7 linked regions of the Ovis aries genome follow. The protein of the gene in region 1 interacts with the protein of each later gene in a biochemical or structural test. Links are inferred from orthologs where the notes say so. Each region holds a gene or a part of one and is shown in the gene's direction. Other genes may lie near its edges. The genes, in order: NR0B2, RARA, HDAC3, HNF4A, ESR1, SMARCA2 and ESRRG.

Region 1 (3,754 bases):
GCCAAGCTGGCCTTGCCAAGGTCCACAAACCTGACATAGCCAAGGACCTTGCCACCAGCATTCACTGCCCAGGCCCCAGCATCCGAGACAGCTGCCTGGGGACAGAGGAGCCATGCAGCTGGCGGCCGAGCAACGTTTCTGTCCAGATCGTAAGTGGGCAACGTCTACAACAGTGAGGTGGGGGCCCAGGTCGTCACCAGCTCTGGCTGCACAACTGGGCCAGTGGGTCCAGGGGTACAAGCAAGGATTTTGGAGTCAGACTGATCTAGGCTCTGTCTCTTTTTAGTGATGTGAACTTGGACAAGTCACTTGACTTCTTTGAGTCTCAAAAAGCAAGCATTTTGCCTCAGAAGGAAGCTCTGAATATTAGAGTGGAAAGTGCCTGGCGCATAGTAGGTGCTCAATAAACAGTAGTATTTCATCATCATTCTGCCAGGGCTTCTCAGCAGACAAGGGCCCTTCAAGAGGTCCAGGCTGGGGAGAGAGAGTTCTTAAGGACCTTATTTTTGCAGGCCTCTCCGCCACCCAGAACTTGGGGTTAGAGGAAGGGGGCCTTCCTCCAGACTGCACAGCCAGGCAAAGTCCTCCCAGCACCCCCAGGATCCTGGCTCCCTTCCCTGCAGCCTGTTCCTTACTAACAACAGGAGCAGGGCCTCAAGGTTAGGCAAACAAGCAAGTGATAAGGCGCTTCCAGGTTGGGCCCTGCGTTCAAGGCTCGTCGGCTCTGGGGCTGGCTCCCCTGCTGAGCGCGAGTCCTGCAGGCACCAATGGGGACACCTGCCACGGCCACCTGCTGATTGTGCACCTGAGGCCTTGGTGCCCTGGTACAGCCTGGGTTAATGACCCTGTTTATCCACTTGAATCATCTGATAAAGGGCAGCGGGGCCAGCGGGCAGGCGGCCCTGTGCCCTGCACCCGCTGCTTCATTGACTGAAGTGATATCGGGGCCACGTGGAGCTCCCAAGTCTCCCTCCCCCACCACTTCCCCCTGGGTCCTGCCAGGGTCAGTGTGAGTTTCTTTTTTTTTTTTTCAATGAACATGACTTTTGGAGTCAAGGTTGTTGGGCGGTTCCCCCCTCCCTCCCCCATTTGGGGATATAAATAGCACCCACAGCACCAAGCCGAGGGTGGGAGAGCCAGCAGGAAGGCAAAGCAGATCCTCGACCATGAGCTCCAGCCAGCCAGGGTCCTGCCCGTGCCAGGGTGCTGCAGGCCGCCCGACCATTCTGTATACACTTCTGAGCCCCAGCGTCAGGGACTGGCCCTCCGTGGCCCCAGCCCGCGGCCGCTGCCTGTGCAGGCAGCACCGGCCTGTTCAGCTGTGTACGCCCCATCGCACCTGCCAGGAGGCCTTGGATGTTCTGGCCAAGACGCTGGCCTTCCTCAGGAACCTGCCGTCTTTCTGCCAGCTGCCCTCCCAGGATCGGCGGCAGCTGCTGCGGGGCTGCTGGGGGCCCCTCTTCCTGCTGGGGTTGGCCCAAGACACTGTGACCTTCCAGGTGGCCGAGGTCCCGATGCCTAGCATACTCAAGAAGATCCTGCTGGAGAAGCCCAGCAGCGGGGCAGGCAGCAGCCAGCGGCCCGATCGGCCCCAGCCCTCGCTAGCTGAGGTGCAGTGGCTACAGTGCTGCCTGGAGTCCTTCTGGAGTCTGGAGCTGGGCCCCAAGGAGTATGCCTACCTGAAAGGGACTGTCCTCTTCAACCCTGGTGAGATCCCAGACACTCCTGGATGAGGGCCAAGGCTGGAGGGGGGCAGGGCTCAGCCAGGGAAAGACGCATTCTAAGGACTTAACAACTGAAATCCCTCTGGGTCCTGATTATCTCCAAATAGCCATCTTGCAAAACAAGCTCAGAGAGGCAAAGCGACTTGCGAAAAGTCACATAGCCAGGTGGGGGAAGAGAAAGAATGGGGACTCAGGTCTACTGATGTCAAAATCTAGTCCTTACTGCTCTGCTAAGAAATTTCCCTGACCCTTAGGGCAGAAGGGGAGGGGAGGGTGGGCAGACTATGCCTCGGTCACGCCTTCATGAGCAGACTGCATGGAGAAGTTCTGAAGATGAAACTGCGGTTTCAGAAAGACCACGTAGAGAAGAGAAATGAAAATGGGGGTGGGGAGGGGGAAGAGGGAGGAGTCTTCGTAAATTTCAGCCAGGACAACAAATAGAGGAAGACTTCTTTGTGATCTGAAAGGCGCTTAGATGAGAAATCATCAAAATGCCCCCAAGGAATGCATGATCAGAGTAATTCATTATAGTAATAGCAAACACTCGCATTACATTTACTGTATGTTAGGTCGAGTTCTAAAGGTTTTATATACACTAGCTCATTTAAACCTCATAACAAGCCTAGGAGATGGGTACTATTATTTGTCCCAGTTTTATCAACGAGGAACCCAAGGCACAGAGATTGAGTAAATTTCCCCAAGGGCACACAGCTAATAAGTGACAGTGTGGGATTAAAAGCCAGGCCCCCCAGGGTCTTACCCATGGCTCTATCCTGCGTCTCCATGAAGGATGGATAAATGAAGTGAAAAATAAATAAATGAAGGAGGTAGTGATGGGGACTCAAAGGCGCCAAGCTGGTGGCCTTGGGTCTTGGGCCAGTCTTGCCCTGTGGTATTGGAGTAGGCCACTCAGCAGCCATCTTTGCCTTCTCTGTCCGCAGAAGTGCCAGGTCTCTACGCCTCCTCCCACATCGGGCACCTGCAGCAGGAGGCGCACCAGGCACTGTGGGAGGTCCTGGAGCCCTGGTGCCCAGCAGGCCAAAGCCGCCTGGCGCGTGTCCTCCTCATGGCCTCCACCCTCAAGTCCATTCCACCCAGCCTGCTTGGAGATCTCTTCCTTCGCCCCGTCATTGGAGACGTTGACATCGCGGACCTCCTTGAAGACATGCTTCTGCTGAGCTGACCTGCTCCAGCCCAAGCAGGGCCTGGGTGGAGGCTGGCAGCGCTGATTTGGCCGGGCTGTCCCCTGGGTGACCCAGTGCTCCCAGAGGCTTCCCCAGAGCAGCTGGCTCCAGCCCAATCAGGTGGGCCCTCACTCAGCCACATCCCACCTTGACCCTCCTCAGTTTGGACACAGTGCTCCAGCTGTCTGGCCAGCCCTTGGTGGTTCCAGAGCCTCTGGGCCAAGACTCCTCTCCCCTCCTGGGGCAGGGTAGAAGTGTCCGCTGTTGGGCCAGGAGTTCTACTGACTTTGTACGGAACTGACTTAAGTTATTGGCTTTTGTAATAAAAGGTGTGACACCCTTGGAACCTGACAGTGTAGTTTGTACACGTGGAAGGGACTGGTTCATCTCCAGAGTCCCCCGGCCCGCCAGAGGAGCCCAAGAGGAAGGAGCTACAAGTGACACACAAGCCAGAACTCAGGAAACTGGAGTTTTGATTTTTCAGGGTGGGATGCTGATTTCATTTCTGGCAGTGAGATTTATTTTACATGGATCTGATCCAGGAGTTAGTATCAGTTCAGGACCCCACACATCCTTGCCCTTATATCAAGGGGTAGGAGTATCCCTCCCTGTTCCTCAAATCCCCTGCTGATCCCTCCCTCTGCTTCTGCCCCAGCCTCCCTCTCACCTCACTGAGAGTCACCAATAAGGAAAATGAAGCAGCCCATTTCCAAATTGAAAGTTTCCGGGAATCTCTGTCGTGTGGGATCATTCACTTCCCCTGTGGCATCACCGACCCAATGGACATGAGTTTGAATAAACTCCAGGAGTTGGTGATGGACAGGAGACCTGGCGTGCTGCAGGCCA
Region 2 (2,830 bases), on another chromosome or scaffold:
TGAGCGGGCTTCTCTGCTTCTTCAGACCGGCAGGACCTGGAGCAGCCAGACAGGGTGGACATGCTGCAGGAGCCGCTGCTTGAGGCACTGAAGGTCTATGTGCGGAAACGGAGGCCCAGCCGCCCACACATGTTCCCCAAGATGCTGATGAAGATCACAGACCTCCGGAGCATCAGTGCTAAGGGTGAGGCTCTCTCCCTGTGTGTCTGCCATCCATGTCCAGAGTCAGGCCTCCTGCATCTGAGCCAGTACCCCACATCTTTGTGCCCATGTGATGCCCCACTCACCTGGACCCCACCGTGCCCAGGTGACCTCCCTGCCTGTGAGCCCCAAGGTGGCAGTGTCATCTTGGCATGCTAGTTTAGGGCATGGCTCTGGAACCAGACCATTGTGTGTCCTTGAGCGGGTCACACGACGGCTCTGAGCCTCAGTTACTCATCTGCAGAGCAGGGATAACATTTACGGAGTTGTCTTGAGATGTCAGTAGGAGAGTCAGCAGCACGTAGGAAGGGCCTGGCATCAAGCCCAGTGACCCCAGAGCCAGAGTTGGGAGCTACTTTGCCCTGCTGCCCTTCAGCTGTCGGGGCTGAGGAGAGCTGGCTTAGGTCAGAAAACTGAGTGCAGGGTTCGGTGTGTGGCGGGAGCTGATACTGGTACTGTGGATCCTCCTACCCCTTGCATGCTCCCTCCTGGGGCCAGGCTTGCGTGCAGGGCTAGAGGAGCAGGGTGGGCCCACTGACCTGTTCTCTCCTGCAGGGGCTGAGCGGGTGATCACGCTGAAGATGGAGATTCCGGGCTCCATGCCACCTCTCATCCAGGAAATGCTGGAGAACTCAGAAGGCCTGGACACTCTGAGCGGACAAGCGGGGAGTGGGGGGCGGGATGGGGGCGGCCTGGCTGCCCCGCCCGGCAGCTGTAGCCCCAGCCTCAGCCCCAGCTCAAACAGAAGCAGCCCGGCCACCCACTCCCCGTGACTGCCCTTGCCCGGTGGACACAGCCCTCACCCCGTGCCCTGGCTTTTCTCTGCCTTTCTACCAACCATGCAACCCCCGCCAGCCCTGCGCCCCACCTGTCCTCCCTTGCCCGGGGGACTGGAGGGAGGAGGTGGCGGCAACTCTTCAGACAGAGACCCGGGCCTGCGTTGGACTGCCCGCTCCTGGAGCTTGGGCTGACGTCAGGGGCGTGGCCGTGGACTGAGTGAGGACCCCTGGTCCCAGGCCTTGGGATGGGGCCTGGGGGCTTCGTGTTCATCAAGACACCCTTCTGCCCACCTCGCCACATCTTCATCACCAGCAAATGCCAGGACCTGGCTCCCCCATCCTCAGAACTCTCAAGCCATTGCCCCCCGGTTGGGGAACCCCCCCTGCCTCGGTTGGTGACAGAGGGGGTGGGCCAGGGGTGGGGGAATCCCCTGTACATACTTTGCCATACCAACCCCCAGGTATTAATTCTCGCTGGTTTTGTTTTTATTTTAATTTTTTTTTCTGGTTTTGATTTTTTTAAATAAGAATTTTCATTTTAAGCACATTTATACTGAAGTGTGCTGTGTATTGGGGGGAGCTGGATTCAGAGCTGGAGGGGGGGGTGGGCCCTGGGGGAGGGGAGTGGCTTGAAAGGGGCTTCCCCTCTCTCTCCAAGTCCCTGTGCCCCCCAAGGCCCCCTCCCCAGCCATTTCCTCCTCAGTTTTCTCTTTAAAACTGTGAAGTACTAACTTTCCAAGGCCTGCCCTCTCCTCTCTCTCTGCCTAACCACTGGGCAAGGACAGTTTCCCAGCAACCCCTGGAAGGAGTGGCTCACCCCCGAGATGGGGCTGGGGCAGAGCACCGGGGCCTCAGGACCTCCAGGCATGTGTCTCTCTGCCCTGTGTCCTCAGCGTAGCTGCTTCCCCATCAGAGCCCACGTCACCGAAGCCCTCCAGCGCTCCCCTCCCCGTGAAGGGGCTGGCCAGGGGGTCCAAGCTCCCCTGCCCTCCAGCCTCATGGCCACCAGCACCGCCCACAGGGCCCCCAGACACACACACACACACACACACACATGCACACACACACAGTGGACAGACAGGCCGACAGACACGGAGCCTGAGTTCCTCCATTTCCCTGACCTGCCCCCCCACCCCACACCCGTGCCCCCTCCTTGCCCCGCAGGACGGGCCTATAGGGGGTCCCCTCACTTCACCCCTGCTCCCCCGGGGCTGGGGGAACTGGCTCTGCCCTGCCCTCCTTGCCCCGGGGTTGGGGGTCTCATCCCCCCCAGAGCCCGCTGGTGCACCTGTTACTGTTGGACTTGCCACTGAGATCTACTGGATAAAGAATAAAGTTATATTTATTCTACACATGCCTCAGAGCCTCGCTGCCTCGCCGCCTTCTTTCGGTGTCCGGGCAGGGACTGGGGCCCAAGCTGCCTTCGGGACCTGCCTTGCTGTGCTCAGAGCTCTGGAAACGCTGGAAGGAGACAGGCCTGCCCTTAGGAAGCCCTTGGTCTAGGGGTCTCAGCCTGTCAGGGACCCATGTAGAGAGGCAGGAGGGAGAGAGAGAGAGACCGCCTCAGCCTTCAGGGAGTCCCCAGCCCGAGAGAGAAAGCCACCTCAGCTCTCTGAGAGTCCCTAGCCCTTGGGAAGCTGGAGCTTGAGTCAGAGTCATTTAGTGGCAGAGTTCTATCTTTAGTGGCCGCCGATGACCTTCACAGCAAGAGTGGCAGTTGGCCCGGGGGGCTTGAGTCAGGGGCTTGCTCATTGCAATCTAAGAAGACCTTAGGATTGGGATGGAACCTGGGAGGCCGGCCCACTTGTTCTTCCACCTCCAGGAAGAACTGTCCCTGTCTCACCCCTAAC
Region 3 (3,500 bases), on another chromosome or scaffold:
AACTCCCATGGAGTTTACAGTTCAGCCTAGGAAACAGGCAAAACTATAAGTAAGCAAACAAGATAGGTAGATTGTTATAAATTCTATGGAAGAAAAAGATAGAAAGCTAAGATATGGGATAACAGTGGAGAAACTACTTTAGATACCATGATTTGGAAAGAATTTTCCAAAATTCTGAGCTGAGACCTGAAGCCTAAAAGGAGTGAGCCATAAGAAGAACAGAGAGAGGTCCATCCCAAGCGGTGAGAAGAGTGCATGCAGACACGCTGAGACAGGGCAGAGGGGTATCGTGGAGGAGATGAAGTAAAACCAGTCAGGTGGAACACAGAGAGCAGGCTGGAGGTGGTTTGAGGTGATGTCTGAGAAGTCGGCAGCATTCGGGTCATGCAGAGCCTTTAGACCTTGCTAAGGAGTCTGAATTATATTTCAGATGTGTTGGGAAACTGTTGACAGGTTTTAAGCAGGGAAGTGACATGATCCAGCTTGAATTTTATTTTATTTTATTTTATTTTATTTTATTTTTTCTGGGCTTGAATTTTAAAGTGACTGCTCAAGACTTCCCTGTCAGTTCAGTGGTTAGGACTCTGCACTTCCTCTGCAGGAGGCATGGGCTTGGTCCCTGGTTGGGGAAGTAAGATCTCACATGCCTTGTGGCACCGCCGAAAAAAAACCAACTGCTCTGAGGGCTGAATGGAGAAAGGTTTGGGGTGGGGCTGGGCACACAGGAGTGGAAGTGGGAAGACTAGTTAGGGAGCTCTTGGTGTTGTCTCAGATAGGAGGCTAAGTTGGAGGAGGTGGCGGTAGAGAGAGGTAGGTGATGTGAGTTATATTTTGGTGGCTAAACTGACAGCACTTGCTGGTACATTGGTGAGACTAGTTGATTAACAGGTGGGTTGCTAGGGTGGGTGCTAAGCAGGACAGAGGTGAGAGTGCACTTTGTTTTAAATTTCACTGAGACGCAACGTGCCGGCAATAAAGTGCACATATCTCAGAGATATAACTCAATGATTTTCACTACCAAGGTCAAGATACAGAACATTTCTAGTTTCCTTGTGCCTCTTTCCAGTTGGCCTCTAGAAGTGTGTTCTCTGGCTTTTGGTAACTTCCTCCACCCATTCCTCTGGTTTCTTTTAACAGGGAATGTGTTGAATATGTCAAGAGCTTCAATATCCCTCTACTGGTGCTAGGTGGTGGTGGCTACACTGTCCGGAATGTTGCCCGCTGCTGGTGAGCATGCCCCCATTTTTCCTCCTCTCCCTTGTACAGTGTGAGCTAGGGGCTCTCCCTGAGAGATGGCCAGTGGACCTTTCACCCCACTCACTCAGCCTGCCTTGCTCTGCTGGTTTGTTTCAGGACATATGAGACATCACTGCTGGTAGAAGAGGCCATTAGTGAAGAGCTTCCCTATAGCGGTAAGGACCATCCCACACATGCAAGGGGGACCATGCCCCCACAGCAAGAAGGCCATTCTCACAAGACCATAGAATGGCCTGGTTTGAAAGTGGATGGGAAGTTTGACTTTATCAGAGTTCTGCAAACTAAACCCCTGGGCCTAGAGAGGGGAAAAGGTTGAGCAGATGTTATGTAGGGGTTTTGGATGGAAAGGAAAAAGATAGGCAACTCTTGGGACCTGCCTGTGTCTATTTGAGCCATCATGTCTCCTCCTTTTTCCCCAAGAATACTTCGAGTACTTTGCCCCGGACTTCACGCTCCATCCGGATGTCAGCACCCGCATCGAGAATCAGAATTCACGCCAGGTCAGCAGCTTGGAGAAGCTGAGCACAAGGGTGGAGGAGCCCAGGAAAGGTCCAGGATGTGGGAAATCAGAGAAACCAGGGAAGAGAGTCTCAGCCATCACTATCTCTGTTATCAGCTAGGAGGCAGCCCCGGTGAAAGCACAGGCAGTCAGGGTTGGGAGGAGGGACAGTTACCAGCTGGGGGATTCAAACTAAGATGCAAAATGGGACTGAAACTAGGACTGCAGGGACAAAAGGCAGCTACAAGCATTGACATCCTGGGAGTCACTGGGAGCTGCTCATTGTCTATTCCTCATCCCCAACCAGTATCTGGACCAGATCCGCCAGACAATCTTTGAAAACCTGAAGATGCTGAATCATGCACCTAGCGTCCAGATTCACGATGTGCCGGCAGACCTCCTAACCTACGATAGGACTGATGAGGCTGATGCGGAGGAGAGGGGTCCTGAGGAAAACTACAGCAGGTCTGGAGCAGGGTCATAAGAGCAGGGAATTCCAGCAAGTTTTGGGGGAAGTTAAGAGGGAAAAAGTAAGTTAGACAGCATTAGTCTAATTGTCCTCAGTGTACCTTCTTCAGTATACAACCATCCCATACTTTTTTTTCCCCCCGATTTAATGATGTAAGTGACATACATTTATTGTAAAACTTTTCAGTTCAGTTCAGTCGCTCAGTTGTGTCTGACTCTTTGTGACCCTATGGACTGCAGCACACCAGGCCTCCCTGTCCATCACCAACTCCCGGAGTTTACTCAAACTCATGTCCATTGAGTCGGTGATGCCATCCAACCATCTCATCCTCTGTCATCCCCTTCTCCTCTAGCCTTCAGTCCTTCCCAGCATCAGGGTCTTTTCGAATGAGTCAGCTCTTCACATCAGTTGGCCAAAGTATTGGAGTTTCAGCTTCAACATCAGTCCTTCCAATGAATATTCAGGACTGATTTCCTTTAGGATGGACTGGTTGGATCTCCTTGCAGTCCAAGGGACTCTCAAGACTCTTCTCCAACACCACAGTTCAAAAGTATCAATTCTTCTGCACTCAGCTTTCTTTATAGTCCAACTCTCACATCCATACATGACTACTGGAAAAACCGTAGCCTTGACTAGACGGACCTTTGTTGACAAAATAATGTTTCTGCTTTTTAATATGCTGTCTATGTTGGTCATAACTTTTCTTCCAAGGAGTAAGCGTCTTTTAATTTCATGGCTACAGTCACCATCTGAAGTGATTTTGGAGCCCCCTCAAAAAAAGTCTGTCATTGTTTCCACTGTTTCCCCATGTATTTGCCATGAAGTGATGGGCCTGGATGCCATGATCTTCGTTTTCTGAATGTTGAGCTTTAAGCCAACTTTTTCACTCTCCTCTTTCACTTTCATCAAGAGGCTCTTTAGTTCTTCTTCACTTTCTGCCATCAGGGTGGAGTCATCTGCATGTCTGAAGTTATTGATTCTTCTCCTGGCAATCTTGATTCCAGCTTGTGCTTCATCCAGCCCAGTGTTTCTCACGATGTACTCTGCAGATAAGTAAAATAAGCAGGGTAACAATATACAGCCTTGATGTACTCCTTTCCTGAGTTGGAACCAGTCTGTTGTTCCATGTCCAGTTCTAAGTTTCATGTTCCGTGTCCAGTTCTAAGTCCATGTTCCAGTTTCTGTAGATTACAATTGTGCTGTTCAATATTTATGTATAAACACAAGGGCACACATACACTCATTTTCAGTGTTGTGCAGTTTTGTTTTTTTTTT
Region 4 (3,500 bases), on another chromosome or scaffold:
GCATCCCCTGCACTGAAAGATGGAGTCTTGACCACTGGACTGCCAGTGGGGCCTTACCTGGGAGTCAGGAGCCCTAATTCCACATCATGGATCTGCCAACAAGTGGTTCTGTGGTCTGGGCCAAGTCCTCTCCTTTTTGTGTGCCTTGGTTTCCCCATCTGTACGATGAGAAGGTTACAAGGTGCCCTCTTGGGAGTGTTCCTGAAGTCTTGCCCCAGCACTGCTAGGATTCTCTAGGTGCCCTCAGGCCACTAGGCCTCCCAGCAAGAGCCCCCGGAGTAACGGGACATTGGGCCCCATCTCCCCAGGCGCTCCAGGTTGGCCCTCTGCCTTCCTGGCATGACCCCTCCCATTGCAGATGCCAAGGGGCTGAGTGACCCAGGCAAGATCAAGAGGCTGCGTTCCCAGGTGCAGGTGAGCCTGGAAGACTACATCAACGACCGCCAGTACGACTCGCGTGGCCGCTTCGGCGAGCTGCTGCTGCTGCTGCCCACCCTGCAGAGCATCACCTGGCAGATGATTGAGCAGATCCAGTTTATCAAGCTCTTCGGCATGGCCAAGATCGACAACCTGCTGCAGGAGATGCTGCTGGGAGGTTGGTGTCCAGCCCGGGAGGGCCGGGAGGTGGGCGGGGCTGGAGGCCGCTTCTCCGAGACCAGCCTCACTCATGCAGAGCTGCGTTCACCTCTCAGCTCCATCACTTCCTCACTCTGTGAAAAAGTGAAAGTGTTCATTGCTCTATCATGTCTGACTCTTTGCAACCCCACGTACTGTCGCCCACTAGGCTCCTCTGTCCATGGGAGTCTCTAGGCAAGAATACTGGAGTGGGTTGCCATGCCCTTCTCCAGGTGATCTTCCCAACCCAAGGATCGAACCCAGGCCTCCTGTACTGCAGGAGGAGTCTTTACCATCTGAGCCAGTGGGCCAGGCTGGGAGAGGTAGCCTCTCAAAGAGACCAGCCTCATGCAGACCTGAGCTCTCTGCTCAGCTCCATGACTTCTTTGTTCTGTAGCTTTGGCCAAATCCTTTTATCTACCAGAGTCTCAGTTTACTCATCAGGAAAATGGGGACAATGGCCTGTTAATTCAGGTGCTGAGAAGTTACCATGTTCCAGTCGCTGTTCTAAGTGCTGGAGGTTCAGCAGAGAACAAGAGTCAGTTTTCCTGGAGGTTGTGTATGAGTGTATATATGAGTGTGTGTGTGCATGCGTGTGCGTGTGTGTGCGTGTGTGTGCATGCGTGTGCGTGTGTATGCATGCATGCCAGTGTATATTAACACTTGGGGTAACAGATGATAATTGAGTATATAATAAAGAGGGCAACTACAAATTTTGAAATAACCAAGTAATACAATAGAGTATAACTGAAAGGGGGCCTCTTTAGATAGGTTGGTCAAGGAAGACCTCTCGAAAGTGGTGGCTTTTATGCCACAGATCTGATGGAAGGAAAGAGAACATTTAAAAGCCAAACAAGAAACACTCCTAGCACAAGTAACGAGTGCAAAAGGCCCCAAAGCAGCAGAGGTTTGTGTGTTGGAGAAAGATAAGTTTGTGAGGCAAGAGGAACTGTATGAAATGAAGACAGAGATTGGGAAGAAACCAAATCATAAATATAGTCTTAGAGGCTATGGTTAGAGATTTGCATTGTATTCTCATTGCAACTCTTAAAAGAAAAGTGGAAAATCAGACTAATGTTTTCAACAAACTATCCCAATGGTGGGTAGAAACTGAACATCAGAGGGAAAATGGAGACCGGAAACCCCTGAGAAATGTCACTGTCTTCAATGAGGGGAAGGACAGGGAGGCTTGGACCAAGGCATGACTGGAAATTGATCAACACAGATGCACTTGAACATCTATTTGGAGGAAGAACTCACAGAAGTTGCTGATTGATCAGACAGGGGCAATAAGGGGAAGGGTAAGAGTCAAGGATGAAACCTACATGTTTGATTTGAGGAACAGGAATGGTGGTGGAGTAATTTATTGAGATGGGGAGGACTGGGGGGAAAAAACTAATTTGAGACTGAGGGTGGGGGTAGGGGGTAAAGATCCATTGTAGAATTTAGTGAAGTGTGAAATGATTGTTGAATAGTCACGTTGAGTTATCCAGGAGGCAGATAATATTTGTTGCTCAAACAAGCCCAAAGTTGGGGATAAGAGTCAGCTTAGTGGTGTCCCAGAAACCAGGTGCCAGAGAAGGAAATGGAGGAAAGCCTAGCCAGGAGGATAAGAGAAAAGCCAAGGGAAGTCCCAGAAGCCAAGAGCAGAGTGTGCTTTAGTGGGGACAGAGCATTTAATGGTGTTAAACTCCACAGGAGAGGGAAGGGGGCTCTCGGCGATTGTGTTGAGAGCAGTGTCAGTGGGAAAGGAAAGCAGGGGAGGTGTTGCAGACGGAGTGAGCTGGAAAGTGGAGAAGTGGAGACAGCAAGAGTCAACTGCCTTTGGAAAACGTTTTGCTCAGAAGGGAGCTGGGAGGGAGCCAAGGCTGATCGCAGGGGAGTGATTGTGATGATGTGCCGTGGAATCTCGGCTGGACTAAGACGGATGAAGACAGGTGGCAGTCAGTGAAGAGTGGGGGCCAGTGAAATGACAGCCTCAACGGGGCTGAAGAATGTTTGCAGTGATGGTGCTAGAGGAAGCCAGCCGGAAGGATAGGAGGCAGGGTCTACATAAAGATGCTTGAACGTGAGACTTTGGAGGTGACGTGATCACTGGTGATGGCCAAGGGCAAGGTCTCTCAACCTCAGTGGATTCTTGGGTCTGAGTCATTCTTTGCTGAGGGGGCTCTTCTGTGTCTTCTTTGGGCACATGACTGGCCTCTACCCGTGATACGCCAGTAACACTCCTTCAGTGGTGACAGATACTCAGATATTGTCAAAGGTCCCCCGAGGGGCCAAAATCACCCCTAGCTGAGAACCACTGTCACATGGTAACTCACTTCTTTCTCACTTTGACCCTGTGAATGCAGGGTCACCGTGAGTCAGATGTCCTGAGGCTAGGATCAGCAAGGAGCCTGTGTCCTATTGCCAGATAAACTTTGGGTAAAATAATTCATCTCTTTGGGCCTTGTCATCTCATCTGTAGAATGAGGTTAATAATGATACCTGGCCTTTAGGGCTGTTGTGAAGGTTAAATTATGTCAAACCTGGAAAATGCGGGAACACAGTACCTGGCACATAGTATGTTGATAGCTATCATTGAAACAGGTGTACTTTTAAATCTTTTTCTCTATTTATCTGTTTGGCCGCATCGGGTCTTAGTTGCAGTATGCAGGACTTCCGTTGCATCTTGTGGGATCTTTTGTTCTGGCATTTAGGCTTTCTAGTTGTGGTGTATGGACTTATTTGCACTTCCCAGGTGGCTCAGTGGTAAAGAATCCACCTGCCAGTGCAGGAGCCTCAGGAGATGCAGGTTTGATCCCTGAGTCAGGAAGAACCCCAGAGAAGGAAATAGCAACCCACTCAAATATTCTTGCCTGGAGAATCCCATGGCCAGAGGAGCC
Region 5 (4,000 bases), on another chromosome or scaffold:
GCTCTATGTGGAAATTAATCTCAGACAATTTGCATATTCAAATTACTTTACAGGCTAACTCGCAAGTGTAGAGAAGATGGAAGGCAATCCTGTGTGTGCATGTGTGTGTATTCAGTCATGTCTGATTTTTTTGTGACCCCATGGATAGTAGCCCACCAGACTCCTCTGTCCATGGGATTTACCAGGTAAGAATACTGGAATGGGTTTCCATATCCCTCTCCAGGGGATCTTCCTGATCCAGGGATCAAACTCCTGCATTGGCAGGCAGATTCTTTACCACTGAACCACATGAGGATGACCATTAAGAGCCTTTATTTTCAAAATGTTTTCAAGCATGGGCTATGAGGATTTTGATTTTCTTTCCTAAGCTGATTTTGAGATGCATGGGTTGCCCTACAGATGTCAACATGCACTTGGGGATTCTAGAAGGCCTAGGAACAAGACAGACCTCTCTTACCTGTCCTCCACCATCCTCACTTGCAGAAAACCAGCCTCCTTCAGATTTGAGTAGAAAAAGCTAACGTGCTTTTAAAAGATCCTTTAAAATACATATTACGTGGGCAAATGAAAAAGTAAACATCCCTCAAACTCTTAAATGGCTGGACGAAAAGCCAGATGGGCCATGGGACGATCAGATGGCAGAGGAACGGCTTCAGAGGCAGAGAGAAGTTAACCTCAGCAGGACACTGAAGTCAAGAACCTAACTGATCAGGGACCAGCAGTGCAAAGCTGTCAAGCCAATGTTGAATGAGAAAGTTACCAAAATGCTCACTGAACATGCATCCTTATTCCTGCTCTGAGCTGTAACAAAATTTATGTGCCCAGTGAATGTTTGATTATTATTTTTCCAACCCCAAATGCCTGTCTAGACTTTAACCTTTATTAGTAGTGAAGAGAAAGTGAGCTGGTATTCATAAAAAAAGAAAAAATATTCAGGCAGATTAACAGATGACTTATACCCTTGTGAAATGTCTGTCTTGACCCAAGTGGTAGGACAGTGAGAATCAGGCCTGGTGTGGAGAAAGAAAGGCCACCCCCTCCTCTATTTTGTACAGAAGACTTTTCCACTCCTAGTCAAATGGTGGTGCTAGTTCTTTAGTTTTGAGTTTTCTGCATTTCCTAATTTCATGGTCATAACAGCCGCTTGTCTACTGCCTCAGAACGGATTTCACCAAAACTGAAAATAAAGGCTCCATGCTCAGAAGTTCCTTAACGGACTCGAAAGGTTAATGTTCCTTTCCCTTGCCCTTCTATAGCGTAAGAAGACAGTCTTTCAGTGACATTCTCCTCCTCAAGCAGGTACTCCTATTTCTTCTTCTCAGCATATATGTATATATATACTTTTTTCTTTTTGTTATATGTGCTACTATTTACAAATGTGATGTAACTTTACAGCTTCCCTCTCCTGTGAAAAGATGTTCATTTTTCTCTTAATGCTCCAGGGATATTTTGCAAAGTTGCTGGCAAGCATTAGTATGACGTTGAAATGTTAAGTCTAAACTTGGTACAGTGAAAAATCCACTTTTCAAATAATATTCAGCTGAGTCAGAGGGCAACCCGACTACCCTTTGCTTAGCACTGCACTGACAGGCTGTCTGCTTGCTCCAGATAACGCCTATTTATTTGATCCAGCTCTAGCTAGGAGGTTTTGGATTATTGAAATGTGGCAGAATTTCAAGAATTATTAATTGGACTGATCACGGGCTAGCATGAACACACTACCTGTTTTCATCATCTCTGGGTGCCGTAACTTCTGTGAGTTGAAACTGAGCAATCTGAATAAGCCATTACTTGTTTCCTGAAGGCAGTCAAGTTTTCTGAAAAGCTACGCCATCTAGCAGTCCAAAAGTCAGCCACCCTGTCTTTAAATTGCCCTGTGATTTCAGGGCAAGTTCTCTTGGGTCTTTCTGCCTCAGTTTGCTCTCCTGTGGAAGAAAGCTCCTGGACACTTTTTACAGGGGGTTGGTGTGTACATAAGTGTCTCCCCGCACCGCAGAGTGCTACTTAAATAATGATGTGGCAGTCACAAAAGACAGGGCAGCGTACTTTCATTTTGGTTAGAGGCATGCCACAGGGTTCAGGAAATGCGCAGTACGTTCTAAGTTCTGTGCTGTGCTAAGAGGGTAACCAGTCTTCGCTCTCTCAGACATGCCCATAGTAGCCAACATAATCAAAAAAAAAAAAAAAATCTTAACGTAAGGATTGAGCTTTATCAGGACTTGGGATCATGGCACTGATTTCTGTTCAAAGAAGCCAGATTTTTTATTGGCTTTCTGGGCCAGATATAACAGACTTGCAAAGTAACTCCATGCACAAGATTGCTGGGAAACTCACCTGGTTTTGAATATTATACACACACACACACACACACACACACACACATATATGTTTGTTTATCTCACTTCTATGATGTATATATGGTGTATATATTAATGTTGAAAGTGAATTTATGAATATGAGGTTGCAGTGTTTGAATTTTATCTTAAAATACCCCGAGAGACGAAATGAAATTAGATGAATACTTATGAGATGTAGGCTTCAGAACCTGTTTCTACTCTATATAAGCCTTTCCTATTTCTCCAAAGCAAATGTTTGCTCCAATTTTGTTAACATCCTATGAAGATTGCCCACTAGGATTTAATGCACGTGACTATACTATTCTAGTGGTTAGATATAACACTGTACAGGGTATTAGGTTTCAAATAAATTGGGAATAAAAATAACATAATCCTTAGAGACAACAACATGGAGGGAAAAAAAGCAAAAATTTTGAATATGAATGTAAGTGCCTTATTTCCTAGCTGGATATTTTTTCTTAGACTCTTGGAGATATTTGTTTTGTTTTATGGCAATGACAGTTGAGGAAAGGGATTAAAGCTTATGTTCTCAAAATTGCAGCAAGAACGAAGTCAAACAGTTATCTTTCATTTCAATTAACTCTGTATCTTTCATTCAGCTTAGGATTTAGAGTTATCGAATCTCTTCCTTTCTGCTAACACCCACTCTCAACCTCTATACGATGTAAATATTTGCACTGCAGTTCTGCTAAACATTCTCATCTGGTTTTCTGTGGCTTCTCTCAGTATTTGTCCATATTCATTTAGTCCGGTTGATCAGTACAACCGCCAAGACTCAGGGCCTGGTGCCTAGGGTTTAGTTTGCCCAAAACAGAGAACAGAACTTGTTCATGGTTGCAGGTTGTACAAAGATTAGTAGGCAAGAATAGAGTGACCCCCAGCTCTGAGTAAATTATCGATATTGGTTGTAAAATATTCATAGCTTAAGTTTCCCTCATAGCGGTTGAGAAATGGTCCTGCCCATTCATGTCCATCATGGCTGTGTCTGTCCTTAATCCCACTGTTGCGCTCCCTGCACAGAGTGTAATCCACTGCTAGTTTTAGAGCAAGGTACTTGTATGTGTTAGTTGCTCAATCGTATCCGACACTTTGTGACCCCATGGACTGTAGCCCGCCAGGCTCCTCTGTCCATGGGATTCTCCAGGCAAGAATATTGGAGTGGATTGCCATACCCTTCTCCAGAGGATCTTCCCAATGCAGGGACTGAACCCTGGTCTCCTGCACTGTAGGAAGATTCTTTACCATTTGAGCTATAGGGAAGTCTTAGCAGGTGGCTTTTGATGAAGGTGATGGTGAGGAAGGTGATCTTGCCTTCTAGGCACCAATTCAGTTGACTCCCTCTGGTTTATTTCCACTGGACCCTGACAAAACCTTGCACATCAGTGAGTTTATGATTCTTTCTAAGGAGTGTAAATTTTTTTTCTTTCTCACTCTGAGACAGAGTCAGGATGCCGAGGCTTGCGTTATCCCTGTGTGCATGCTAAGTTGCTTCAGTTGTGTCCAACTCTATGAGACTCTATGGACTGTGGCCCACCAGGCTCCTCTGTCCATGGGATTCTCCAGGCAAGAATATTTGAGTAGGTTGCCATGCCTTTCCTCAGGGATCTTCCTGGCTCAGGGATTGAACCCGCATCTCTTAATAT
Region 6 (3,500 bases), about 170 Mb from region 1:
CTAGTTTTTTTCTTACCACATTTGAGGGAAGATTTTGTTGTATTGATTAATTCTGGAAAATGATTTTTATTTCACTCTTAGTTTCTTTCTTAGCAACTTTGAGGTAAAACGAATTATTGTACTTAGTACAACTAAGTGTCTCATCCTTATAATTTTGCCATGCCAGGAGACATAGTTGAAAAGAGCGATTTGATGAAGTGTGTTACACAATTACATTTAGATTAGATTGTCTAATGTTTTGGTCAGTTGTATTAGGCATCGTGTGATTTATCACGGGTAAGCTATAATTGGTGACGACCTTAGGAAAGAGGACAGTCCAGAAGGCAGGAGACGTGACCCATTTTAACACCTGGTTGTATCCCTTCTCCCATGAAATGTCAGTAGCTATAGTAGGAAGTTTTTCCTCCAGTGATAGATGCAAAGTTGGCAGAAAGGTGTTAGGGAGGTACTTTCATAATGAACAAACTACCATTTTGCACCAGCATTACAATTTGGAGGTGAATTTTAACCTCGTTAAGAAGGAAAACCGTTAATGATGAAGTTAAGTATATGTTATTGATACTTAAAAATGTTTATTGTTATAAATAACATCCTGGGATTTGAATTTCTGCTCATCTTGCAGATGAGCGGGCTGATTGCAGGGGCATTTTCTTAGGCTAACTTCTGTGATCAACTAGAACCCTAATGCCTTCATGATTTTTGTGCTCGATTACAGAGTAGGGATTTCGGAAATGAGAGTGAGCAGCTTTTCCATTTCTCTTCAGGGCAGGATTACTCAGAATGGAGTTCTACATCTCACCAATTGATAGAACAAAACCTACTCTTGTCTTAGGGGATCAGGCTAAATTTGTTTCCCTCTCCAAATGGCAATTTGAGATAAAAGGAACTGTATCCTTTATTTTCTCTAGTCTTTCAAATGATGATGTTGAGTCCCCAGGCAGCGTGGGTCAGATATTCGTGAGCCTCTGTAATTCCACATAGACACAGAGTGCAGCTTCAGCTCAAACTTGATTAAGTGTTGAAACACACGGCAGATGCCTAATAAACACCTATGTGATGACCTTTAAAATAATTGTGATGCAGGTGGATTTATTAATGGCAAAGACCTTTAATTTAATGTTTTACATTGTGTCTTAGAATGCCTTTGAGTTGATGAGTTAGCCCTCAATTTGAATGGAAGACAATGTTTTGGGGTACAGCAAACCACTCTGTCCTCTCCTTCCTCTTGGATCTCCCTTCAGCAATGTGCAGTCCTATATTTTTCTAGGGATTCTTTGGCCAGACTCCACAGTTCATCTCTTGAAATAAGTTTCTTGAAAATTTTATTGCATTTTGACTTTTCTTTCTTAAGTATTCTTAAGTTTTCCATTTAAGTCTCTTTATCACCCAAACAGATTACTTTCATTTTTATATTACATTGTAAATGGTTCTGGGCTTCCCAGGTGGCCTTAGTGGTAAAGAACCCATCTGCCAGTGCAGAAGACGTAAGAGGCATAGATTTGATCCCTGGGTTGGGAAGATCCCCTGGAGGAGGACATGGCAACCCACTCCAGTATTCTTGCCTGGGGAATCCCATGGACAGAGGAGCCTGACGGGCTACAGTCCACAGGGTCACAAAGAGTTGGACACACCTGAGGAGACTTAGCTTGCAGCACATAAATGCTTCTAGAAGATTTTGGAAGCTTTCAAGCCTTTAACTTATTTTTATATTACTACAACAAAATTAATATTAGACCATGGAAAGAACATATGCCTTGGAATCAGGTGAATCTTGGTTACCAAGATCTAATTGTGTGACATGGTGTAATGTGCTTACTCTCATTTTAAAAAATGAGGCGACAGCACGTATCTTCTGGGAGTGTTGTGAGGACTATAGAAAAAAAAATGTATCCTCTAACTCTTCTTACCATTTCTGTGCTCCCATCATCCTTATATCTACTGGCCAGACCACCATCTTGATTTTGATTTACCGGCATCCACCTTACACACACAGACACACACACAGACACACACACACAGACACACAGACACACACACACACACACAGCATGAGATTAATCTTCAGGCATGCACTACAGCAACTGACTTAACCATACACTCCTTGTTGGCTTCCTTCCCTTATTTTACCTTTCCACACTCTTGTCAGTATCCCTGCACCTTTCAGATAAATCAGCTGCACTCAGTCTTTCCATCAGGCTCTGATTCCAGGGTAAACTTGGCTAAAATAGCATGTACAGTGCCTTGCTTAGTGCCTACAACCATGGAGGCCCTCAATAATGGCAAATTACTCATAAAGTGCATAATAATAAACCAAATAATATCCCCGTAAGAGAGTCCTCATTCTGCACTGCAGTACAGCAGAGAGCTTCAAGTTCTGGTCTCTAGGTTGGAGCTCCTTTTAATGTATAATACTGTCCCCTGTGCCCTTCCTCTAGGTGTACAACAGCCACTACTAGGTCGTGTCACCATCTAGGACACGTGAAAGTGAAAGTGAAAGTCGCTCAGTCGTGTCTGACTCTCTGCGACCCCATGGACTATACAGTCCATGAAATTCTTCAGGCCAGAATACTGGATTGGGTAGCCTTTCCGTTCCCCAGGGTATCTTCCCAACCCAGGTCTCCCGCATTGCAGGCGGATTCTTTACCAGCTGAGACACAAGGGAAGCCCAAGAATACTGGAGTGGGTAGCCTATCCCTTCTCTAGCAGATCTTCCTGACCTAGCAATTGAACCAGGGTCTCCTACTTTGCAGGCAGATTCTTTACCAGCTAAGCTATCAGGGAAGCCTCTAGGACACATCGGGCTATCCACTGCTTGAAATGTGACTAGTCCCATTGGAGATGTACAGTAACTTAATATGGAAACAAAAATGTAAAATCTCTAATAATTTTTATTCTTTGAAATGATAATATTAGGGGTATGTTGGTTTAAATTATATATTATTACAATTTTGTCTGTTTCTTTTAATTTTATATGTATATATATATTTGATATACATAAATTTTAAATTATATATAATCCCATTAAGTTACATGTGCTTTAAATTTCTCTCAGTCAATGCTGTTGTGGAAAATCGTCAGGATCTCCAGGAATGTTTCTCTTTCAGGGTCATGGGGGGCAGCCTGTGACCTCTCCCTTTGTGTTTTATTCCAGGTTACATGTCGCCGCACCCATCTCCGCTGGGAGCCCCAGAGCACGTGTCCAGCCCTATATCAGGAGGCGGCCCGACCCCACCACAGATGCCACCGAGCCAGCCAGGACCCCTCATCCCAGGCGACCCTCAGGCAATGAACCAGCCCAACAGGGGTCCCTCTCCTTTCAGTCCCGTCCAGCTGCATCAGCTCCGAGCCCAGATTTTAGCTTACAAGATGCTGGCCCGGGGCCAGCCCCTCCCTGAAACACTGCAGCTTGCAGTCCAGGGGAAAAGGACGTTGCCTGGCATGCAGCAACAGCCGCCGCCACAGCCCCAGCCCCAGCCTCAGCCGCAGCAGCCACAGCCGCA
Region 7 (4,165 bases), on another chromosome or scaffold:
AGCAGTTATCTCTTTGCCATAAATAGCTGGTAGCTATTACCATGTACATTTGCTAGTATAAAAAGATCCCGTATTTAAAAATAGGACTTAAGCAAACTCTTTGTTATATGGAAACTAAAATCAGGCTTATACACTATTAGAGAAAAAACAACCTTCTCTTCTTATATTCTGTCTTTAAAAAGCACTTCTGTTTGAAACTCATGCTTATAATGACCAAACTGTGTGATGATTTACGAAATGTTTCTGAGTTGATTTTTTAAAGCATTCAGGGTGTGTTATGTATAATTGACAAATACATAAACTACATTTTATTTGAAAGCTGATGTTTGGGGTAAAAATCATATGTGTTTGTATATGTTTCCCAGTTTGGAAGCTTGTATTGAAATAAATGTATGACTAAGAACACTTTCAGTGCGCTGGTTAGCACTGCTTTCCCTACAGGGAAAAAAAAAAAAATGCAGTCTTTATTTTGTCAAAATGCACTGAGACGTTTTCAATGCACTAGCTACCCAGCAGCCCTGTCTCCTACTCCTGAAACTGGAGGAGCCAATTTGTCCCGCAGTTGTTTTATCTTTGTTTTGAAAAGCTATACATTGTATATCTATAGGTAGAGAGAGGGGGAGCAGGTAAAGAAATATTTACATATAGAATTTACATAGGCATTTTCGAAAATTGCATTGAGGCACTCTCCTCTTCTGTAGTGATGTAAAACTGCAATCCACCTCAGAGGACGATTCCCACTTCGCATGCTCGAACAATTTAGAAGTCATATCTTGGATTTTTTTTTTTTTAAATGCCCAGTCTAGATCAGAGAAACAGACGACAACACGATGACGGATCAATGAGAAAGTACAGCACTCAATAAGCAGGAGCCCCCTCCCCGGTGGAATCAAACACAGACAACGGCAGGACAAACTTCATTCTCTACCTTCCGCAGAATCCTTTCCCAAATTAACTCTGAGAGTCTGCGTGAGTTCTTCTGGGCAAGGCAAAAAGAGATCTTGGGTGAGAAACCCAAGACAGATCCCTCCGGGGCTTGGAGGGTTAAATTAGTTAGGTTTCTTTTCTAGCTTCCCACGGGAGGAGAGAAGAGAGAAAAAGAAAGAGCAAGCAAGCGCGGGCCTGGCGCAGTATCTGCCCGGAGCGTCCGGATCTCTGGTCCCCGCTCCCTTTTCTCTCGCGCTCAGTTTCTAGCCGGGTCGCGTCTCTGCACCCTTCGTACCTGCCTGGTTCCGCGGCTCCTCGCAGCCTCCCGTCGCCTCCCTCCTGATTGGGCAGCCGCCCCCCAATCGGCTGCGCGCCTGGGCCGGTGGGACTGCATATGTTAAGCTCTACTTCATATTAATAAGCTCCAATCGGGGCTTTAAGTCCTTGATTAGGAGAGTGTGAGAGCTCTGGTCCCAACTGGCTGTGCCTATAGGCTTGTCACTAGGAGAACATTTGTGTTAATTGCACTGTGCTCTGTCAAGGAAACTTTGATTTATAGCGGGGGTACACAAATAATGGTTGCCGGTCGCACATGGATTCGGTAGAACTTTGCCTTCCTGAATCTTTTTCCCTGCACTACGAGGAAGAGTAGGTACCTTTTTCTTTCCTTTTTAAAACTCGTCGTGGGGGTGCGCGTGTTTGTGTGTATGGCGGGGCGGGGGGGGGGTGGTTTGGGGGGTGGACGGAATGGATCTTGGCGCACTGAATCAGGTAATGTCCTGGGTATTTCGTGTGCACGAGTGCTTGTTTGTGTCTGTCTTGTGCCTTTTGTGTTGAGGGTGATCTCCTAATTCAGGAAGTCGAGAATTGTTCTCTGACTACAATGTTACCTTTGAGGCAAAGCTCAGTGACTGTCAGTAAAACAGCTGTGTGACAGTCACTTCTTATTCAGGTGCTAAGAATAGGCACTTGGCACAAATGCTTAGTGAACTGTTAAAATGCATCTTTTACTAGGACCCATTTTCCCAAGGAAAGATGTTTTAAAATACAATATTCAAAATGATTTATACTATTGAGTGCCTCTTATGTATTTGCAGCTTGACAGATATTTTCAGCTCCCCGTCATTTCTTACCGCTCAGAGTTAGAGGCAAAATTGCACATTTACTAATTCTCCTTCAGAGAACAATTTAAAAACTAGCCCTATGCAAGCCGGGGCTAGAATAATGTTATTTGCATGGTTAGCATTAAGTCAGCACTTAACTGACAAATCAGTCCATTAAGTAACATGAGATTTTTCACACGCTATAAATATTTAAAGGGAGAAAAAAAAAAAACTAAACTAAAGAAGAAACAGTAGTGACTTTTTAAATTTCTCCTTGAACAGACGATGCTGAGATTGTGGATTTGTTTCGTGTATCATGTCCAGAAAATGCAGAAAAGTACTTTTGTCCTTAGATGCAGTTTCATTCATATTTATGAATATCTTTATGCCCATGGAAATATACATATTTGTATTGCTCAGGGTCGGGGGGAAGTGAGTAGGGGGTAAAAGGAGTAAATCAGGCATTCTTGGGTAAAAATGAGTAGGTCGTAAACTTAATTTCAACCCACTGTTAAGATAAAATACTAGTTTATCACAGTAACTGTCACTGGTTCCTCTTTCTGTTGAGTCAGTTATATGGCTTTGCTTTCCCATTACAGTAATACCAACTGTTATAATTCTGAAAAGAGTGCTCTTGGCAAACAGTTCTCCCTAGATTGTGAAGAAAACATAAAACCCTCGAGAGGAGGAGGTCATGCATTATAGGTAGATGTCCACTAGCGGTCCTTAGTGACTGCATATTGCCTTGCTTTGTAATTAAGCAAGAGATGAAAAGTGACTTGCAGTCTCAGTGGCTCCTCATATGTTTGAGTGTGTGTGTGTATGCCTGTCTGTAGATGTGCTTGCACGCATACACACTCACACCAGGGATGTTAGCCCAGGGATGGACTTAGGAAGAACCGAAAGATTGGAAGGCAGTGCTTGCGTCAGTTGCAAATGCTCCAAGGAAGAAACCTTAAATTGTGTGAAAATAAAAATGAGAAATAAACAAAGGTAGGACTGCCCACTCAAGTGGAGTTTGAAGGTTAGTACACCTGAGGCTGTAGCACTGGAGAATTTAATACACCTTCATGTCAGGAAGAATGCATTATCCAAGCTCACCCAATTCAGAACTTTCTCTCATAAATAAATAAACAAAACAAACTTTAAAAATCTGCCTTCTTCCCCTAGCCTTCTTTGTAAAATAGTTTCCTTGAATTTAACTTCTTATAGCTAATTTGAATAATTAGTTTCGATAAGCCTCTTAAAGCAGATGTATTTAAATGAAATCAGGACACATGTCCTTTTGGCTTTGGCGCAAGATTCAAACTAGCTTTCCTTTTTGGCTCAATTAAAAGTCATCTTTAAAAAATACAGATTTATTGTTTGGATGCAGCTCTGATGGTTACGTGGTTCACTGGACAGACAGAAAGATCTAATGCTTAGTAACGCATCTGCCTCTCTGTCTCAATTAATAAACCACAGAATTTATACATGCTATTAATATTCATAGTAATTGTGCTGGGTTAAACCCCATCACGTGTGTGTATACACAGAAATGAAACCAGAGTTATGCAGTTTCAGAGGAGAATATTGGACAATTTCTGCTGTGGAGGCTGTTGAAAAGATTCCTTCAATTTATTGACCACCATTAGGAGAGCCTAAAATGTTAACCTATAACTATGTTGTTTTTTTTTTAATTTTGGGAAATGTGCCAGTGCATTAAAGAGCATAATACTTGAAAGCTTGTTTCACATTTAATAGCAGTAATAACTGATAGCATAAATAGATGAAAATAATATATCTGCTCATTTTGACATATGTGTCAGTCTAATCATTCTAAATGAGTGTGCTCATCACGGTTCTCTTTCAACCTCTGATTAAAATGTAACATTGACTACAGGATTATAGAGCGGACTTAATTTTACTGACTGTTTTAGCAGTTGTCACAGCTGTTGGAAGAAGGAAAGGCAATTGAAACACTCCAAAACAGGCAAGGCTAGGAGGGAACAGTTTAGTATTTGAATTTCAGCCTGATCATGAAAATCCAGACCTGATCATGAAAATCCAGACCTCAAAAATTAAGCAGATTTGTGTTTGTTTTTTTAAAATTCCTGTTTGGAGCTATGCAAGTTTTATTTTGTAAGGTTTCCTCT

What was found.
Region 2: the proteins of NR0B2 (region 1) and RARA form a complex in vitro, tested with the Homo sapiens proteins (2 studies listed by BioGRID). The link is inferred for Ovis aries from reciprocal best matches to the Homo sapiens genes NR0B2 and RARA.
Region 3: the proteins of NR0B2 (region 1) and HDAC3 form a complex in vitro, tested with the Homo sapiens proteins (2 studies listed by BioGRID). The link is inferred for Ovis aries from reciprocal best matches to the Homo sapiens genes NR0B2 and HDAC3.
Region 4: the proteins of NR0B2 (region 1) and HNF4A form a complex in vitro, tested with the Homo sapiens proteins (4 studies listed by BioGRID). The link is inferred for Ovis aries from reciprocal best matches to the Homo sapiens genes NR0B2 and HNF4A.
Region 5: the proteins of NR0B2 (region 1) and ESR1 form a complex in vitro, tested with the Homo sapiens proteins (2 studies listed by BioGRID). The link is inferred for Ovis aries from reciprocal best matches to the Homo sapiens genes NR0B2 and ESR1.
Region 6: the proteins of NR0B2 (region 1) and SMARCA2 form a complex in vitro, tested with the Homo sapiens proteins (2 studies listed by BioGRID). The link is inferred for Ovis aries from reciprocal best matches to the Homo sapiens genes NR0B2 and SMARCA2.
Region 7: the proteins of NR0B2 (region 1) and ESRRG form a complex in vitro, tested with the Homo sapiens proteins (2 studies listed by BioGRID). The link is inferred for Ovis aries from reciprocal best matches to the Homo sapiens genes NR0B2 and ESRRG.

What each region holds. Positions count from the first base shown.
Region 1 is NC_056055.1:240,027,852-240,031,605, forward strand, and holds NR0B2 (nuclear receptor subfamily 0 group B member 2), read left to right. Parts: upstream 1-1,129; 5' UTR 1,130-1,166; coding exon 1,167-1,707; intron 1,708-2,665; coding exon 2,666-2,907; 3' UTR 2,908-3,254; downstream 3,255-3,754. UniProt on the Homo sapiens protein: Transcriptional regulator that acts as a negative regulator of receptor-dependent signaling pathways. Specifically inhibits transactivation of the nuclear receptor with which it interacts.
Region 2 is NC_056064.1:40,344,003-40,346,832, forward strand, and holds the end of RARA (retinoic acid receptor alpha), read left to right. Parts: intron 1-25; coding exon 26-184; intron 185-756; coding exon 757-974; 3' UTR 975-2,330; downstream 2,331-2,830. UniProt on the Homo sapiens protein: Receptor for retinoic acid. Retinoic acid receptors bind as heterodimers to their target response elements in response to their ligands, all-trans or 9-cis retinoic acid, and regulate gene expression in various biological processes.
Region 3 is NC_056058.1:50,376,670-50,380,169, reverse strand, and holds part of HDAC3 (histone deacetylase 3), read left to right. Parts: intron 1-1,137; coding exon 1,138-1,227; intron 1,228-1,353; coding exon 1,354-1,412; intron 1,413-1,677; coding exon 1,678-1,757; intron 1,758-2,063; coding exon 2,064-2,221; intron 2,222-3,500. UniProt on the Homo sapiens protein: Histone deacetylase that catalyzes the deacetylation of lysine residues on the N-terminal part of the core histones (H2A, H2B, H3 and H4), and some other non-histone substrates.
Region 4 is NC_056066.1:72,799,991-72,803,490, forward strand, and holds part of HNF4A (hepatocyte nuclear factor 4-alpha), read left to right. Parts: intron 1-358; coding exon 359-595; coding exon of another isoform or gene 596-624; intron 625-920; coding exon of another isoform or gene 921-1,301; exon of another isoform or gene 1,302-3,500. UniProt on the Homo sapiens protein: Transcriptional regulator which controls the expression of hepatic genes during the transition of endodermal cells to hepatic progenitor cells, facilitating the recruitment of RNA pol II to the promoters of target genes. Activates the transcription of CYP2C38.
Region 5 is NC_056061.1:76,487,730-76,491,729, forward strand, and holds the start of ESR1 (estrogen receptor), read left to right. Parts: upstream 1-1,200; 5' UTR 1,201-1,299; intron 1,300-4,000.
Region 6 is NC_056055.1:70,296,004-70,299,503, forward strand, and holds part of SMARCA2 (probable global transcription activator SNF2L2), read left to right. Parts: intron 1-3,151; coding exon 3,152-3,500. UniProt on the Homo sapiens protein: ATPase involved in transcriptional activation and repression of select genes by chromatin remodeling (alteration of DNA-nucleosome topology).
Region 7 is NC_056065.1:19,381,047-19,385,211, reverse strand, and holds the start of ESRRG (estrogen-related receptor gamma), read left to right. Parts: upstream 1-1,365; 5' UTR 1,366-1,519; coding exon 1,520-1,575; intron 1,576-1,660; exon of another isoform or gene 1,661-4,165. UniProt on the Homo sapiens protein: Orphan receptor that acts as a transcription activator in the absence of bound ligand. Binds specifically to an estrogen response element and activates reporter genes controlled by estrogen response elements.